Linked DNA regions of Alligator mississippiensis. The protein of the gene in region 1 purifies or fractionates together with the protein of each later gene. This does not show direct contact. Links are inferred from orthologs where the notes say so. Each region holds a gene or a part of one and is shown in the gene's direction. Other genes may lie near its edges.

What was found. The genes of interacting proteins can lie anywhere in the genome.
Region 2: the proteins of SEC13 (region 1) and NUP37 purify together in Homo sapiens (affinity purification with mass spectrometry; 5 studies listed by BioGRID and IntAct, counting the BioPlex papers as one, with this or other methods). This does not show direct contact. The link is inferred for Alligator mississippiensis from reciprocal best matches to the Homo sapiens genes SEC13 and NUP37.

Annotation. Positions count from the first base shown.
Region 1 is NC_081835.1:15,063,503-15,070,918, forward strand, and holds the start of SEC13 (protein SEC13 homolog), read left to right. Parts: upstream 1-4,060; 5' UTR 4,061-4,166; coding exon 4,167-4,169; intron 4,170-4,244; coding exon 4,245-4,289; intron 4,290-7,416. Other genes in the region: cullin-associated NEDD8-dissociated protein 1, read right to left, coding at 208-275. UniProt on the Homo sapiens protein: Functions as a component of the nuclear pore complex (NPC) and the COPII coat. At the endoplasmic reticulum, SEC13 is involved in the biogenesis of COPII-coated vesicles.
Region 2 is NC_081827.1:107,340,158-107,348,758, forward strand, and holds the start of NUP37 (nucleoporin Nup37), read left to right. Parts: upstream 1-5,150; 5' UTR 5,151-5,169; coding exon 5,170-5,250; intron 5,251-5,650; coding exon 5,651-5,842; intron 5,843-8,485; coding exon 8,486-8,601. Other genes in the region: PARPBP (PCNA-interacting partner), read right to left, coding at 1,046-1,195. UniProt on the Homo sapiens protein: Component of the Nup107-160 subcomplex of the nuclear pore complex (NPC). The Nup107-160 subcomplex is required for the assembly of a functional NPC.

The DNA of each region.
Region 1 (7,416 bases):
AGGCGGGGGGCGGGCGGGGACAGTGGCGAACTCTCCGATTCGGCGCTCGTTTGGGCCGATTCGGCCACAGCCAGAGCCGCAAACGAGATGTAAATCGTGACATATACAACGAAAAGCAAACAAATGATATGAACAACAAGCGCCGCTTCCCCGCCGGGGCAGCGCCACGGCCCAGGCCCCCTCCCCCCGGGCCGGGCCGGGCCCTACCGAAAGTCCTTGTCGGTGGACGTCATCTTCTCCAGCAGGTTGGAGATGTGGTACGACACGTTCGTCATGTCGGCGCCGCGGCCCGCCTGGGCCCTGCGGGGATCCGCCGGCAGAAGATGGCGCCAGGCCCCGCGGCCCGGGGTCCGTGTCCGTGTCGGGCTCCCTCTCCTCTCCCCGCCGCCGCCTGTGCCCGGCTGGAAGGCGCTGGAACAGCCCGGCCGCGCCGCCAGAAATAGCCCCGCGCCGCCCGCCCGCCCGCCCGCCCCGCCCCGGCCCGGCCCCCGCCCGCCGCCGGGGACAGCCGCGCTGGCAGCCCTCAGCCTCGTCCTCAACTCCGCGCTTTAACTGGGAAAAACTCCGCCTGTTCTTGTATCCATCAGCTTAGGCTGATGAAAGAATGGCTGTTTTCCCCGTCGTGCCTAGGAGCCTTTCCAGTGACCCCTGCTTCCGCCTGCGCTGTGTCAAATGCAGCCCTTAGGACTGCTTTTTGGGACCTCCCAAACCCTGTGGCGGCAGGGGGCCCCGCAGACGAGGGTCTCCTGTGTGCGTCCGCTCGCCACCCCCTCGCTTCTTCACGGCAAAACTGCATCTTGCAGGGGGCCCCCAAACAACTGAGTCAGTAACTTTGGGAATTAACCTCCCCTGTCCTGTGGGTTTGTCTCCTCTGCTCCTCCAACAGGCCTGGGCCTCTGCGGTCTATTTGGCTGCTTCTCCACCAGCATCTTCTCTCCCGCTCCCTCGGGACAAAAAAGCCCGCTCGCCTAACCCAAACGGTCCAGCCCTGCCGGTCAAATCCTCTCCGAGAACACTGTCCACAAGGCCCAGCTTCTCCCGCAACATCTTCTCTCCCGCTCCCTCGGGACAAAACAGCCTGCTCGCCTAACCCAAACGGTCCAGCCCTGCCGGTCAAATCCTCTCCGAGAACAACACAAGGCCCATGGTAAGTTGCCAAGCAATAATGGCGTGTTCAGCAGCTCACAGGAACAACTGGTCTCAGCAACAGCATTTGTTGGGACTATTTCAAAATTTGACTCGAACGTTGCAAACTGCGCACGTGCGAATGGATCCAACCGTATGTTCTTCTCCTGGTGAGCTTTGTCCCTTCTTCCCTCCCTTTTTCCATCTACACTTCTCCTGTAAGGAACACGGGACTGGAAGGGGTCTCCCAAGCCATCGCAGGTAGCTCTTTGTCCAAAAAGCATCTGCAAGAACATCTTCTGGTGCCTCAGAGACAGAAAACACCTGATTAAAAAAAGGGAGGGGGACTAAAACATGCCACAAGAGAACAGGAGAAACACAGGCATCACCAGTGCCTCTTGGGTTATATTCAGTATATGGCACCAGAACTTATGGTGGCAAAGAACAGGCAAGCAGCCACCACTGCCGAAGTGATGGCCGTCACTGGCCAAATCGTATTAGAACTTCCATCACAAGATCGTTTTTGTGAGCAGCTCGTGGTCCCAATTTCCAAAGCATTTAATATATCCTTAAGGCTACTTTGGTCCCGTTTACAGCTCACGTTCTAAGCAGGCAACACAAACAATTAGAAGAAAAAGACAGCATTATAACTCATTTTGCACCTGTATCATGACTTGTTCCAAGTCAGTCAGGAAGTCTGTGGCAAGGGTAGGAATTAGATCCATATCTCATAAAAACCACGCCCTTGACTACAAGACCATTCTCCCTCCTTTCAGTAGCAAATCATCTGAATGATCTACAGATCTCATTGATACCACTTTATAAATGGTTATGCTTGTAAAGGGAACAGAGCCCCAATATGCAATGACAGGGCTGTAGATATGTTTGTTTTACAAACCAAAATTGGAATGGAAACTTTTCTCCATTTAAATTAAACATTAGCAAAGCTTTTTGTTTGAATGTAAATGTTTTGGAAACTCAGACATTGCATCTCTGTGCTATTGCAAAAGAATCAGAAACAGAAAGTGCCAAGCGGATTTTCTTACCCAAGCTGCAAGACACGCAGCTTGGGTAAGAAAGTCGACAAGTAGAAATAATAGCAAGAAGTATATTGCACTGTAAAATGACTTGGAAGAATATAAGCAGGAACACTGCTTTTAAATGGCAGGAATGCTGAAAAACCTATCTGTTTCCTTAAAGTCCACCTGCTACATTATCACTGTGGCTGTGCTCAGGGACCTCAGTCAGGGACCAAAACCCTGGTGTGCCAGGCCAACACTGTCCGAACATAAGGAAGTGCCTCATCGTGAAAGGACAATGAAGTTCACTTTTACCAACTGTTGTTTTGCTGAGCCCAGAGCACTTCAGAGATAGTAAGCTCAGCTCTGGGAATGCATGAGGGGGAGGATGTGATGATGATGAGGCTGCAAGGTGCACTCAGGTGGCCATAATGCATTGAGAACAAAACAGGTGCTTCTGGTTTTCTCCTACAGCAATACACTATCTCCTTCCCTATCAAGCTGTCCCAAATACAGACACACTGTCTTCTGTAAACCATGATCAGATTGCACCTGCCTTTCAATCTTTACACTGTGGCCTGTAAAGTTGCAGATTAACATTAACTCCATCCTTTTGGCTTTTAAACATCTGGGGAACATTATTAACTTTTACACTTTCATCTGAAGGTCCCAAAGCACGTCACACAGGAAAATAGACATCATTCTCCCCAGTGCACAGATAGAGAAATTGAGATGGAGAAACAAAATTACTTACCCAAGACCTCAGAGGAGCCACCTGCAGTGTCAAAACTAGAAGCATCTGGCCCCCAATCTATTGTCCTCACTGCTGTTTCCACAAAACAAGAGCAAAGGCTCTAGATTAGATCCCATCCCTTCTTGAAACAGTTCCTGAAGGCCCCATTGTTGTTGTCCGAGTTCAGCAAATTACTGCATCTTTGCACATCTCTCTGAGCCTCCCTTCTTTTAAATATCAGCTCACAACCCCTCTTAGCCCCTGAAATAGTTTCTCTCTGTTATGACTGTTTGATGAATGGATATATTCCTTGTTACCATTAGATGCCTTTTTTAAAGGATGCAAAACTGTCTTTTAGGTAATATTTTAAAGTAGATTAGTGCTTTTTTTTTTTTTACTTGCTGTTGCTCTGAGCCTTTTGGGGGAAGTCAAGTGGCTAACCATGAAGTAGTAAAAGCCCTGGGAATGCAGCTGCCACATTTGCAGACTTCTCTTCAGATTTCTGAATATGGGCTTAATACCTGTTTGCTTCTCTCTCCCAGCACCACCTCCTTCTCCCCCTTGAATGTTGTACTCTAATTTTTCTCTCCTTATTCCCAGCTTTCTGCACCTTCTTTCACAGGATGAAGTGAACCTTAGCCCCCAAAAGCTTGAGTTATATCTGCCTACCTACCTAGATATGCCTATAGCAGTGAAAGGCTAGCTTGAAATCAAACAGAAAGATTTGCACCTTATCTGTATCCATCGATCAATACTGCTATTTATACAGCAGCATTTGTGAGCGGAGGTTTGCTTGTTTTATCAGCTGCTGTGCAAGGACAGTTTGCGTGAAGTCAAGCACGGAGGTTTGCACCTTACAGACTCAAAGCAGAGATGTGCAGAGAGAGCTCTCTTCTTTACTCAGTCTGTATAGATGTCTATCTATCAAGATACCTAGCACAAGGGTTTGAGCTGAGGCTGCTTGTGCAGAATCATCACGTGCAGGAGACACCGCCAGAAACAGCTCCCGGGTGAGTCTATGGGCGCAGCACCTCCCCGCTTCTGGGCTTCACGCTCAGCCTGTGCGTCTCCACCCCAGGCGCGGGGGGCGGGCGGAACCCGGGCGCGGCCGCGCTTGTTCCCGACCGGGCCGCTTTCGCCGGCGGACCCGGGCGCTGGGGAGGACGAAGCCGGGCGCGCCCGCGCTTGTTTCCGGCCGGGACGTCTTTGCCGGCGGACCCGGGCGCTGCCACGTCTGAGCGCCGCCGCGGGAGCGGGAGGAGGAGGAGGCCGGTGTCGCCGCCGCCACCATGGTAGGCGCCGGGGCCGGGGGGGTGGTGGTGGTACATAGTCTGGTGGTCTGACCCTACCCCGCTTGTTCCCCGCAGGTGTCGGTCATCAACACCGTGGACACGTCGCACGAGGACATGATCGTGAGTGTGGCTCGGCTCGGCTTCCCGCAGGCCGGGGCAGGGGCAGGGGCCTACCATAACCCCGCTCGGGTCTCCTCATCCTCCGGGCAGGCTTTGCCCTCCCCGCCCCGCGGTGCCGCCTGCGGGCGCCTCTGGTGACAGCCGGGCTGTCGGAGCTGCCCACGAGCGCGGAGGGGCACCCTCGTGCCGGCCCGGCTGCCGCAGGGGGGTCTTCCCCTCCTCCTGCAATCATGTCAGGTTTGGCAGGGATCTTGGGGGCTCGCATGTAGGCCAGCCCCCCGCGCCGAGCAGGGCCAGCCCCAGCTGTCTCATGGAGGGTTGTGGCTCGGTTTAATCTATTTGGGGAGGTTTCCAGAACGGCAGTGTACCCGTGACACGCGACGCGAGCGTGCCCGCATGCGTCAGTTATGGATTTTGATATGTAGACTTTACGTCAGGAAGGCAAAATGCACGCGACTGTTATGTTTAAAAAACATACGGGATTACTGTACAAATCTGCTCCAGCATTTAATATTTATTTTAATGAATGGTCTATTGTTTATCTCCTGGGTGACTCTTGGCATCTCCTGGAGATTTGTCTCTAATTCCTAGAGCCTCCAGGGCAATCCTGGAGGGCTGGCTACCCTCATCGCATCCCAGCCAAGGCTTTGTTCACCTGGGTCTTAACCTCTAAGGAGAGGGACCCCACCACCTCTCTGGGTAGCCTGGTCCTGTACTTTACTACCATCTTTGTGAGAGTTTTTTCCTAATATCCAACTAAACTTTCCTTGCTACAGCTTGAGACCATCGCTCCTTAATGTCATCTGTCACCACTGAGAACAGTCCAGCTCCATCCTCTTTTGAACCCCCCTCCAGGTGGTTGAAGGCTGCTGTTAAATCTCGTCTCAGTCTTCTCTTCTCTGAACTAAATAAGCCCAGCTCCCTCAGCCTCTTCTCAGAAGTCGTGTGCCCTAGCCCCCAAACTATTTTCATTGCCCTCCACTGGACTCTCTCCAACATGTCCACATCCTTTCTGTAGTGGGGGGCACAAAACTGGACACAGTACTCCAGATGTGGCCTCACCAGTGCCCTTGTTGCTAAGAAGGCTAGCAGCATACTAGTCTACATCAGTAGGAGCATTGCCAGCTGATCGAGGGAAGTGATGATTCCCCTCTAGGGAATCATCCCTAGGTGCTGGTGAGGGCCGGAATCCAAAGCTCCACAGGCCACATTTGGCTCGCAGGCCAGAGATTGAGCATCTCTGTTCTAGATCCTTCTTTCTAATGCCTGGGACTTGCTGCTAGAAAACATGAGATAACAGTGTGCACCATTGCTGGAGGGATGAGAAAGAGGCAGATCAGTGTGTCAATTTGTGGGAAGAGGGAATAAAACAGCACTCTAAACATCGTCTTCAGATGGGCAGGTCTGTCTCTCAGTGGTCTGTACAGCTTTGCTGCCTCATATTGTAAAACCCCTTAAACTTACTTGCATGTATAACCCCTTGCCTGGTGTGGCTGTGGGAAGTCAGTGTCCCCAAACATTGCTTTAGTAAGAAGAGGGTACAAACAAGTCAGATAAATTTATGTGCGTAGGCATTAGAACACAATGTGTAATATAAGCCATGAAACCCCACACGGAAATCTGATAACAAAATTTCCCTTTTCACCAGTATAACTTAAAACCTCAACTCATCAGTCTCATACGGACCCATTGGGTTGAGGCTCTTTACCTTGTGCACAGGTAAGAGCTGTTCCAGATGGCACAAGGACTTTCAGCACTTCACAACACACTGACTACGCTAACTTCTGTGGCCTTTTAAGTGCAATTCACTGGGCGTGTCTACACGAGACACTTACAGTGGAGTAGACTAATTAGGTGCGTGGCAAATGTCTTATATCTACATGTGTGCCCCCATTAGGCTACAGGAAAGTAATAAACTCCACAGCAAAGAGTATTTACAAGCACTACCCTTTTGTGGAGTTTTTTTACTTCACAGTACTGCATGTGTAGTCTAACATGGCTGGCTGGTGCACGAGAGTGCTTCTGTGTGGGGGTTGCCTGCTGGCTAGCCCCACACTGGAGCACACTCATGGCCCAGCCGAGCCCCTCCACAACACATTGAGCTGGGTTGGAGCAGCCCCAGGCTGGCAGGCTGAACCTTTGGGCCCCCTGCCAGTTAGGGTTTCTCTGACCTGGTTAGCATGCTGGAGACTCAGGCTCACATTCAGGTGGTGTGCCCAGGAGCAATACACTCCAGTGCGATATGTACCAGAGTTTTTTGCGTGCTAACAGCATGTGTAGATGCACCCACTCTATCAGCAGTCAGGTTCTCTCCCTGCTGGTGTCTCTTCTGTGGGGAAGTTGATCCTGCTCCCAGCTGTGCTCAGACTGGGCTCCTCCACAATCTCCCTGGGGCCCCTTTAATGGTGCTGGGAGCATGTCAGGGAACAAGGCCTCTCCCATGCTCTAATTACACTGGCTCCAGGTAAAAATGGCCTCCATGTTGCAGCTCTTTTATTTTTTCCACTTCCACTCCTGTTAGCCCTCAAAACAGCAGAGGGCCATAGTTCAGACCAACTCCTTGGGTTTGGTTTTCCTAGACTTTGAGTGGCCTCACCCCACTCTGCTTATCTCTTCAAAACCCAAGGTCAGGGGTTACACAAGCATAAGTGATTGGTAACATTGTGTGGGGAGGTGGATCAAAATTTTTGTTCCCATTTGAAATATAAAGAAACCAGAACCAAGATTAAGTAATTTAGCTGAGGCCAAGAAGAGTCAGTGGCAGAGAATAGAAGCCCAGAGCCCTGACTTCTTGTCTCAAAGCACTGGGTTTGACTACTTGTGGTAATTACCTTATTACAGGGGTTTTCAACCTTTTTGGGTCACTGTACCCCAGTGACTGGATGCAGGGGGGGGAGGGAGAGAGGAGGTGGTGTGCAGCTGGACGCCAAGCAGGAGGGGGCCAGAGTGGTGCACAGCTGAACGTGGAACTAGGCCGCCAAGCAGGGGGGTGGCACGTGGCCTGATGGGGAGTGGTAGCAGCTGCCACGTTTGACTTCCCCTGCCTCCCATGTCTGGCCAGGCAGGCAGCACCTACACAGGATGGTGCGTGGCAGCACTCCATCCCTCCCTGCCTGCACCTACCCCG
Region 2 (8,601 bases), on another chromosome or scaffold:
GGCCCTCCACATGCTCAGTGACAAACCCGGAAGCAGACCAGAAATACTTCGGGTCCACTTCTGGGTCTGCTGGGGAGCACATTAGGGCCCCCCCCAAAAAACTGGCGATTGGCTACGGGGGGGATTCCGGGTGCCCCCTGCAGACCCAGGAGGCAACAGTTGCTGTGTCAGGAGGTGGGGGGGCTCCCAAGCAGACCCAGAAGCGGACCGGAAATGCTTTTGGTCCATTTCTGGGTCTACTGGTGAGTGCGCTGGGGAGCCCCCTGTGCTCCTGTGGGACACACTATCCGCCCCAGCATTGCAGCATTCACAAGCCACCTAGTACCTCGAGGTATGTAGAAAAAACATTTAAAACTGTGTCTATGTCCGAATCGCTAAATCTCTCAGAATCAATTCAGAGAGATTAAAAGGGTCTCCTGATTAGATTTGTATTGGGAGATTCGGCCACCGAATCAAATCAGCAACCGAAGGTTTGCACAGCCCTAATATATACCACCCCCATCTATATCCAGGAGGTTCAAATTACATCGTCTCTGTAAAGCAAACCTCCCTCCTATAGCACTCACTGGGATACTGCATCCCAAACACAACTTCACAGTGGTCCAAAGGCTAAGAGACATTTTTTTGTGTATAATTTCTGGCACTTCCAACCCAAGCACCACTTCCCCCCAGAACCAAATTGCCACCACCAAATCACTGCCAATATCAGGACTTTGCAGACCAGATGGAATTGCCTGGCAGGCTGAATCCATCCTGATTGCTATAGTTTGCCAACCCCTGATCTAGAGTATGAGGAACATCTGAAGGAAAAGAGCATAGGCTGTAATCAAAGTTAAACAATAATGCAAACTTCAGACACGTTAATATAATATTGAAATGGAGCGATTCAGCATACAAAGGTCAGAAAACTAAGTGCAAGATTTTTTTTATTTTTTTTTTTTACTTCCGTGCAAAATACATGACAAATATGCACATAAAGTAATGATCTTAATCCACATGTAGGCACTCCTAAATGTCCAGCAGTTTCCATTGACAGAGTACTAACCTGTTTATTGACCTCAGCCATTGAAAGCTGTAAAGCCATAAGCATACAGTCTGCTCCACACACAGTTGTTCTTTCCGAGTCTGAAAATAGATGCCATTGTCTTCTAAAACTCTTGACCATATTTAAGATCTTTTGCTGAAAGGCAGCCATGTTCCTACAATAGAAGTCAGAGAAAGTAAGTTAGATTTTTAACTATCAGAGAAGTAGAATTCAGGAATGGACTTCCAAGCAAAGCAGTGGAGAGAAGGAACATGAATCTTTAAGACTGAATTGAATAAGCTTATGGAAGGGAAGGTGATAGGACAGGGAGCGTGGCAACATCAAGCAATGCATGATGTGAAGTCATGTGTTTATACCCCAATCTGGGGACTGCAAGAATATTTCCTATAGAGTGGAAGGTGTCTTTTAATCCCAAACCTCTGGGTTTTGGTTCATCTCAAACTCCTCTAAACTTTTTAGATCCCATAGTTCATCTGGTGCCCCTCAAGTTTCCTACAAATCACTCAGCCCATCCTCACCCAATATAAACCATCTCCTTCTTTACAATGGATCTTCACAGTACTGTTTTTCCAGTTTTTTAATCCTACCCCATCACCCTCTGAATCCCTTCTTTTGGAGAGGCGAGTGATCAAACTGAAACAAAACACTTATTGCCACATTAAAGCTGAGACCCAGACAAAAGTTGAGGGCAAAAGGGCAAGTGGTGGGAGGACAAAGCAAGAGATGCAAAAGTTTTATGATAGCCATGACAGTTTCTTCAGCGCAACCAAAGCTATCTATGGGTCAAGTGCATAAGGAGCCATTCTTTTGAGGTCCAAGGATGCAACACTCTCTAAAGACAGCTCCAATATGAAAGTAAGGTGGGATGAGCACTTTCAAGAGCTCCTGAACTGAGACTCTAATGTGAAAGACAATACCGCTGAAGCCATTCCACAACCCCATTAACGATTACCTTGCAGATCCACCAACTTATCAAGAAGTAAAAGCAAATAAGCAGATAAACAACAAAGCATCTGATCCTGATGGAATACCAGCTGAAATTTATAAGCAAGGTGGAAACACGTCCTCTCATCAACATGTCTTATTGTGAAAATCTGGAAACCTGAACAGATACCCAGTGACTTGAAAGAATCATTACCATATTCAAGAAAGGAGATATATTGCAGTGAACACTGATATTGCCCTCCTGCTCACAGCTGGGAAGATCCTTGCCTACATTCTTATCAGCAGACTCACTTTCCTCACTGATGAGATTCTACCCAAGCCCCGGTGTGGTTTCAGATCACTCTGATGGACAGTGGATATTATCTCTGTTGCTAGACCTGACTAAGGCCTTTGATTCAATCAACAGAGAGGTTCTTTGTCAGATACTAATGAGATCTGAATGACTGCCAAAATTGGTTACCATTATCAGATTTCTTCATAACAGAACCACAAACCTCCTGAGCAATGGTGCAAAAATGGACTCCTTCACTATTAGGACTAGAGTCAAGCAAGGATGTGCAACTGCACCAGTACTTTTCCATGTACACCATAGCTATATCATATTTCATTGCTGATGGACTTCCATCTGGAGCCTGCTGCAGTCCAGTATTACATGGATGGGAATCTCTAATATCAGCTGGTTACATTTCAAATCCAAGATAACCAACACCTTCATTACGAATTTCCAACATGCCAGCCTGTGTTATGCATGCCCACTCAATTGAAAAGCTCCAGGTCACTTTGGATTGCCTCTGTGAAGCATATGAAATGCTTGGCCTCACTGCCAACTTCACAAAAAATGCAGTACTTTACCAACCCACCCCAAACCAAACAGCTGCTCCACCACATATTACAATCAGAAGGCAATTCTTGAAGATAGTTGAGCATTTTCCCTGTCTAGGTAGCCCCCTTTCCCAAAAAGTAAACATAGACAATGATATTCAACACCGGATAAAACCTGCCAGTGCTGCCTTTGGATGTCTCCAAAATTGTGTCTTCAATGACCATGACGAACTTCTCGCCTACAGGCTGCAGTCATCCATACCTTGTTGTAGGAGTGGGGAACTTGGACAACGTAGCAGAAACCCCTGGAAGCTTTGGATCACTGCCATCGGCGATGCCTGTGAAAAATCCTCCATACCAGCTGGAAGGACAGATGAATGAACGCCTGTCTTCTGGTTCAAGCAAACACCACCAGCATTAAAACTGTGTTTACACAGCACTAGCTCCGTTGGAAAGGACACGTCATAGGATGGCCAATAACCAGCTCACAAAACATGTCCTATGCTCCCAAATCACCGATGGTCACCCCTCTAGGGGTGGGCAAGGAAGAGATGCAAGGACATCTCAAAGGCCAATCTGAAGAAATGTCATAGTAGCATCAATACCTGGGAAACTCCAGCACTGAGTCAGCCCCTGTAGCAGCGTGATGCATGACAAGGCATCAAACATTTTGAGCAAATTCACTTCACTAAGAGGTGTATAGATGAGAGACAGACAAGACAGACCTGTGATCCTACATCACCAGGATCTTCCTGTTCCTTCCTCCCTGAACTATTCACCACATCTGTTGTTGAACACGTTGATCTTGACTCAACCTCTGAAGTTATTTGTGGACTCACTGATGACTTCCCTGTTCACTGGAGTACCCTTATTTACCAGCCTAGGACAAATCCTACTCCTTGCCCTTCCCTAAATCCCTTCTTGGAGAAGGGGGTGACCAGCTCAATCTCCACCCCATGCAATGTGTCATCTGGCCTGTAGCACTCCCCATAGCTCTGGAGATCTGGTGGCAGGGAAGCACTGTCACTTCCCTGCTGACAAGCCTCTGGTCCCCTGAGGAGCCTGTCAGGTCCCACGGGGAGGCTGGATGACAGGACTGCATGGGCTGGAGATGGACCACTACTAGCATTCAACACACCCCAGGTGTACTGGACTGTACACCTCTGACTGCACCACCTCTGCATGCATCCATGCGTTGTGCATCTGACCCCAGCAGCCTTCCCTGCCCAAGCACGGGAGTGGGGGGGCCGGCAGACCTGATGATCTGTAAGGTCCCCTCCAGCCCGTAACAACCATGAAAGAATGAAACACTGCAGGGCAGATAACATGGCCCCGCGTGCGACACCGTGGTGACCCACGGTCACTCTGTTGCCAGCCAGGGGCACGCACAGGTCCAGGCACGAGGCTGGGGATCAGATCCGGGTGCACGGGGGGGGTCCGCGCAGGCTCAGGCAGGGATGCAGGTGCACGGTCCGAGCGCACCGGCGGATCCAGGCGCCCAGGCGGACCGAGCCCGTCAAGCCCCGGAGCTACCGCACCTGCGTGGCTACTGCAACTGCCCCAGGGCCCTGCAGCCAGGCGACTGCCCAGCGCCACTCACGCCTTCCAAGTGCCCCGGCAGCCCCGGGCTCCTGGCGCCTCCGCTCCGCTTTGCTCAGGCAAGACTCGCGCTCACGGCTTTCAGCGTCCTCGGGATCCCCCTTCCCCAGGTCCGGGCGGGTCCGAGAGAGTGGCTGCAGGGAGGATCTCGGACACCGGTACCTGCGCGGAGGGGAAGCGAGGGGAGGGAGGGAGAGGGGGAGGGGGAGGAGGCGGAGTGTCCTTGTCCTTGCCCCGCCCCCCCGCGTTCCGGTCCAGCCAATGAGCGGGCCCCAAGCGCCAACGCACGCGAGCCCCCGGCGGTTTGAATTTAAATCTCCCGCAGCCGACCAATCAGAGCGCCGCAGCCTTTGGCCCGGAAGTGCGGGGTGCCGGGGACGGAAGCAGTGCTTTACGAACAGGTTCGCGGGAGATCTCTAGGTAAGGTGAGGTCGGGATGGGGTTGGGGGGTGTTGCGGGGGAGGTGTGGGTGTTGGGGGGGTGGTTAACAGCTGCGGGGTGGGGAGAATAGTGCCACCCTTCCCCTGTGTGCGGGGGGCCCTGCCCTGTCACGGGGCTCGTCATCCCGTGGAGGGGAGGCTGAGGCAAGGCTGCGCTCCCCCAGCCTTCCTGAAACACCTTGGGACGAGGGGCAGGAGCTGCTTCCTCTGCCTGGGGCTCATCTGGGCCCCTTCCTGGTGCTTGCGGGCTGGTCCCCTGCTGCACATGGGGATGTCCTAAGGCCCCTTCTAGCTTTGCTGCTGTGTGGGAACTCTGTGATGCTAAAGCCCCTATGGAGCAGGCAGAGCCCCACAGTCAGAAAATGTCTGTGTCTGACTTCTCGTGCCCCAATGCTGTTGGTAAGATCATGTCCCAGGTGTTTTCTTCTCAAGCGTGTGGTTTGTTTTGGGGGGTTTTTTTGTCTGGGAATATTTGTTGTAGCCATGTTAAAGAACAGCTGTTTTACAAATAAAATTTCCTACCCAGGAGAACCATACAGCCCTTTACCTCCCCCATGTAATACGAGGTTTTATTTCTACCTCGGAGAAATTTTACAGTCTTTCAATTCATCTTTGCCCGATGAAGAACGTTTGGGCCCAGAAACTTGCAAATAAAGACTTTTTTGTAACTGTCTAATTTGTTTAATAAAAGATATTACCCTTACCCCAAGAAGCTTTGTCTGGGGGTGGGAGTATGTGCGCGCGCATGCACGTGCGGTTTGTTTGTTTGTTTTTTTTAAATCTCCTCCTCCTGTAACAGTTGTTGCTTCTATGCCACCTCCATCTTACCACTGAAATGAAGCAAGACTCTGTTAGGAGCGCTGCCTATGCTGTGGACTGCGAGGATTACGTGCACGTGGTGGAGTTCAGTCCGTTTGATAGTGGAGAGGCATGTTCCCTAATTGCATATGGTGGCAACAATTATGTCGTTGTCGGGACTTGCAGGTTTCAAGTGAGTAGGTTTTTTCTGTTATTTTTTTTAACTGAATATTTGCAGTTTGGGGGGTTAATTCATCTTTAAAAGGAATGGTTAAGGAGTACATTGGAGCCACAGCATTTTTTTTTCCTTTATAAAATCACTTTGAGTTGGGCCCATTTTGTTTTTAGATTCCAGCATAATTGTTCTTCAGGCATGTATGTTCATAGAAATTCACTTCAATGAAAATTATGTATATTACTGTGAGGTTTGATTCTGCTACTATAACTTCTTTTTGATCACTGAATAAGACACAAAAATAATAGGTCTTTTCTCTTGGAAAGAAAGTTCAGTTTCTGTGTCTTTTGGAATGTAGGTAATTGCTACCTGGGGAGTTGTGCAGCTATTAGTTTGGACTGTGCCTGGTGAACTGGAGATGTGCTGTGTGTGTTTACAAAGTGCCATAATTTATTATATCTGATTCAACTCTTCTTCCCAGAGCACTAAATCCCAATCTGTATGAATCTGTTACTTATGGACTGACTTCCAGCCAATGGCTGTGATACCAGAAATTAATAATTACTTGCCATATTTCCTCAAATATAAGATGAGGCTTTTTTCCCGTTCGGAGGTGGAGGGGGGCGTGGAAACCTTTTGCTTGGAACAGAGTTTGGGCCAGGCAAACAGCTGCTCCTGTTCAAGATGCAGCCATGGTAGCTTGTGTGGCAGGTAGGAGGTGTTCAGGGAAGGGGCATACGGTGTGAGGGGACATGGGAGGGGGGGATGCACAGAGCAAGGGGGCATGGAGAAAGGTGCACACAGAGCATGGAGAAACGGTATGCAGGGAGCACAGTGCAGAGGGGAACACGGTGGGGGGGAAAAGCACAGTGTGGGGGAGCTCATGAGAACAGGTGGCGGGGCAGCATGGGTGAATGGATGTATGGTATGAGGAGAGCACAGGGCAAGGGTTTGTAGGAATACAGGGAAGGGACACAGAGGAAGGGGTTGCAGCGGGGAGTATGGGTGAAGGGATGCATAGAGCAAGGGGAGTGTGAGGAAAGGGACATGGGGGATGAGGTGTGGAAGGGGCCACTCCATGCAAGGGGAAGCGCAGGGGAAAGGGCATGCAGATACAGCAGGTAGCATAGGGCAGGAACACGTGGAGCAAGGGGAGTGTGGGGAAAGGGACACTTAGGGTGCAGGGCAAGTGGAGTACAGAGCACAAGGGGCACAGGGAAGGGGCATGCAATGAAGGGAGAGCGCTAGGAAAGGGGGACACAGCAGGTGGAGCACAGGGAAGAGAGAACGTGGAGCAGCAGGCATGGTGCTGCAACTCCAGTCTTAAACCTGACTGCAGCTGGAGGCTGAAGCTGGACCTGCTGCTATTGCCTGGCGTTTAACTTTCTGTACCTCCTTTATGCCTCCCCCAACCTTGAAATTGACAGGACCTAGTCAGTTCAGGGCTGCTTACAAAACCTTCAAGTTGAGGCTTTTGCTTCACTTTACAAATTATATAGGTAAACAGAATGCAGTTATGGCAAAAAGGAGACAGCAGTGCAGAAGAGATCCTATGCATAATCTTTATTTGTTACGTAATCAGTAGGCAAAAAAATTAGAACTGGCATGTTATACAGTTAAATTATGCACCTATTCAGTATACATATAGGTGGTAGTCTTTGCATAATTCATGTTGGCCAATTGTTAGGTAAAAACAAAATGCTTCTTGTGAGCATATAAGCATCAAGAGTCAATGTAAATTATTTTTTAAACGGTGCTTAACTTCAACAATACAAAGCATTTCTTTTCAGTGAACATGTTTGGAAACCTAGAGGGGAGTGTTCTAGAAACTGGATCTAGTTTCTGAAATTCTTATCTGAATCTATCTGTGTATAAAAGAACATTATTTATGCATCCAGTGATCCAACAGCATTTACAATAGCAATATAGCAGGGACATGTTCATAGAACTTTTTTTTTCTATTCCTTCCAGTAGATGAAACAACATGGTAATAAGCTTTTTATAAGTTCTTGTGGTCATCTTTGATGCCTCTACTACCAATGTAGCCTCTACCTTTTTTTCTCTTTTTTGTTTGGAGTAGATAGTCCATGCATGCTGGAAACATTCATTACTACGGACTTAACTTGAAAGAAGCTATCTGTATCTTGTTGACTGTGTGCTGCTTTTTTCTTTTTCTTTTCTTGGTTCTTGTCAAAAGATGGATAATACTTGTATGCATGTGAAACTTCCCCCCCCCCCCCCCCCAAAAGCTCCAATGCATTGCATCTTAACTAAACCTATGAAGTCATGATCTGAAACGATGACAGGCTTAGTGTGCCTGCATACACACGTTTTTAACCTTGTTTCCAAGACTAACAAAGATGTAAATTGTAATCTAAGATTTGTGATGTATACACCTGTTCAGTAGAAACTGAATATCAGCACCTCACTTTACATGTCATAGGTCACTCAATATTATTATTTGTGTTCTGTGATTTGTTGCTGTACAGACCTACAAAGAGGGCATGGACTCTTTCATAATGAGTTGACAGTCTAAAAGGCAACCGAGTAATTATTTTTGGTCACTACTAGTGGAGACTGATCTAGAATTAAAAGGTTTTTGTCTTACTAATAGTCTTCAGGACCATTTTCTTGATAAACTTATTGTGCTACTTTATTTAGGAGGAGGATGCAGAAGTGGAAGGAATACAATATAAGATGCTAAGAACATTTCATCATGGGATCAGAGTTGATGCCATAGCATGGAGTCCAGAAACCAGACTCAATTCTTTACCTCC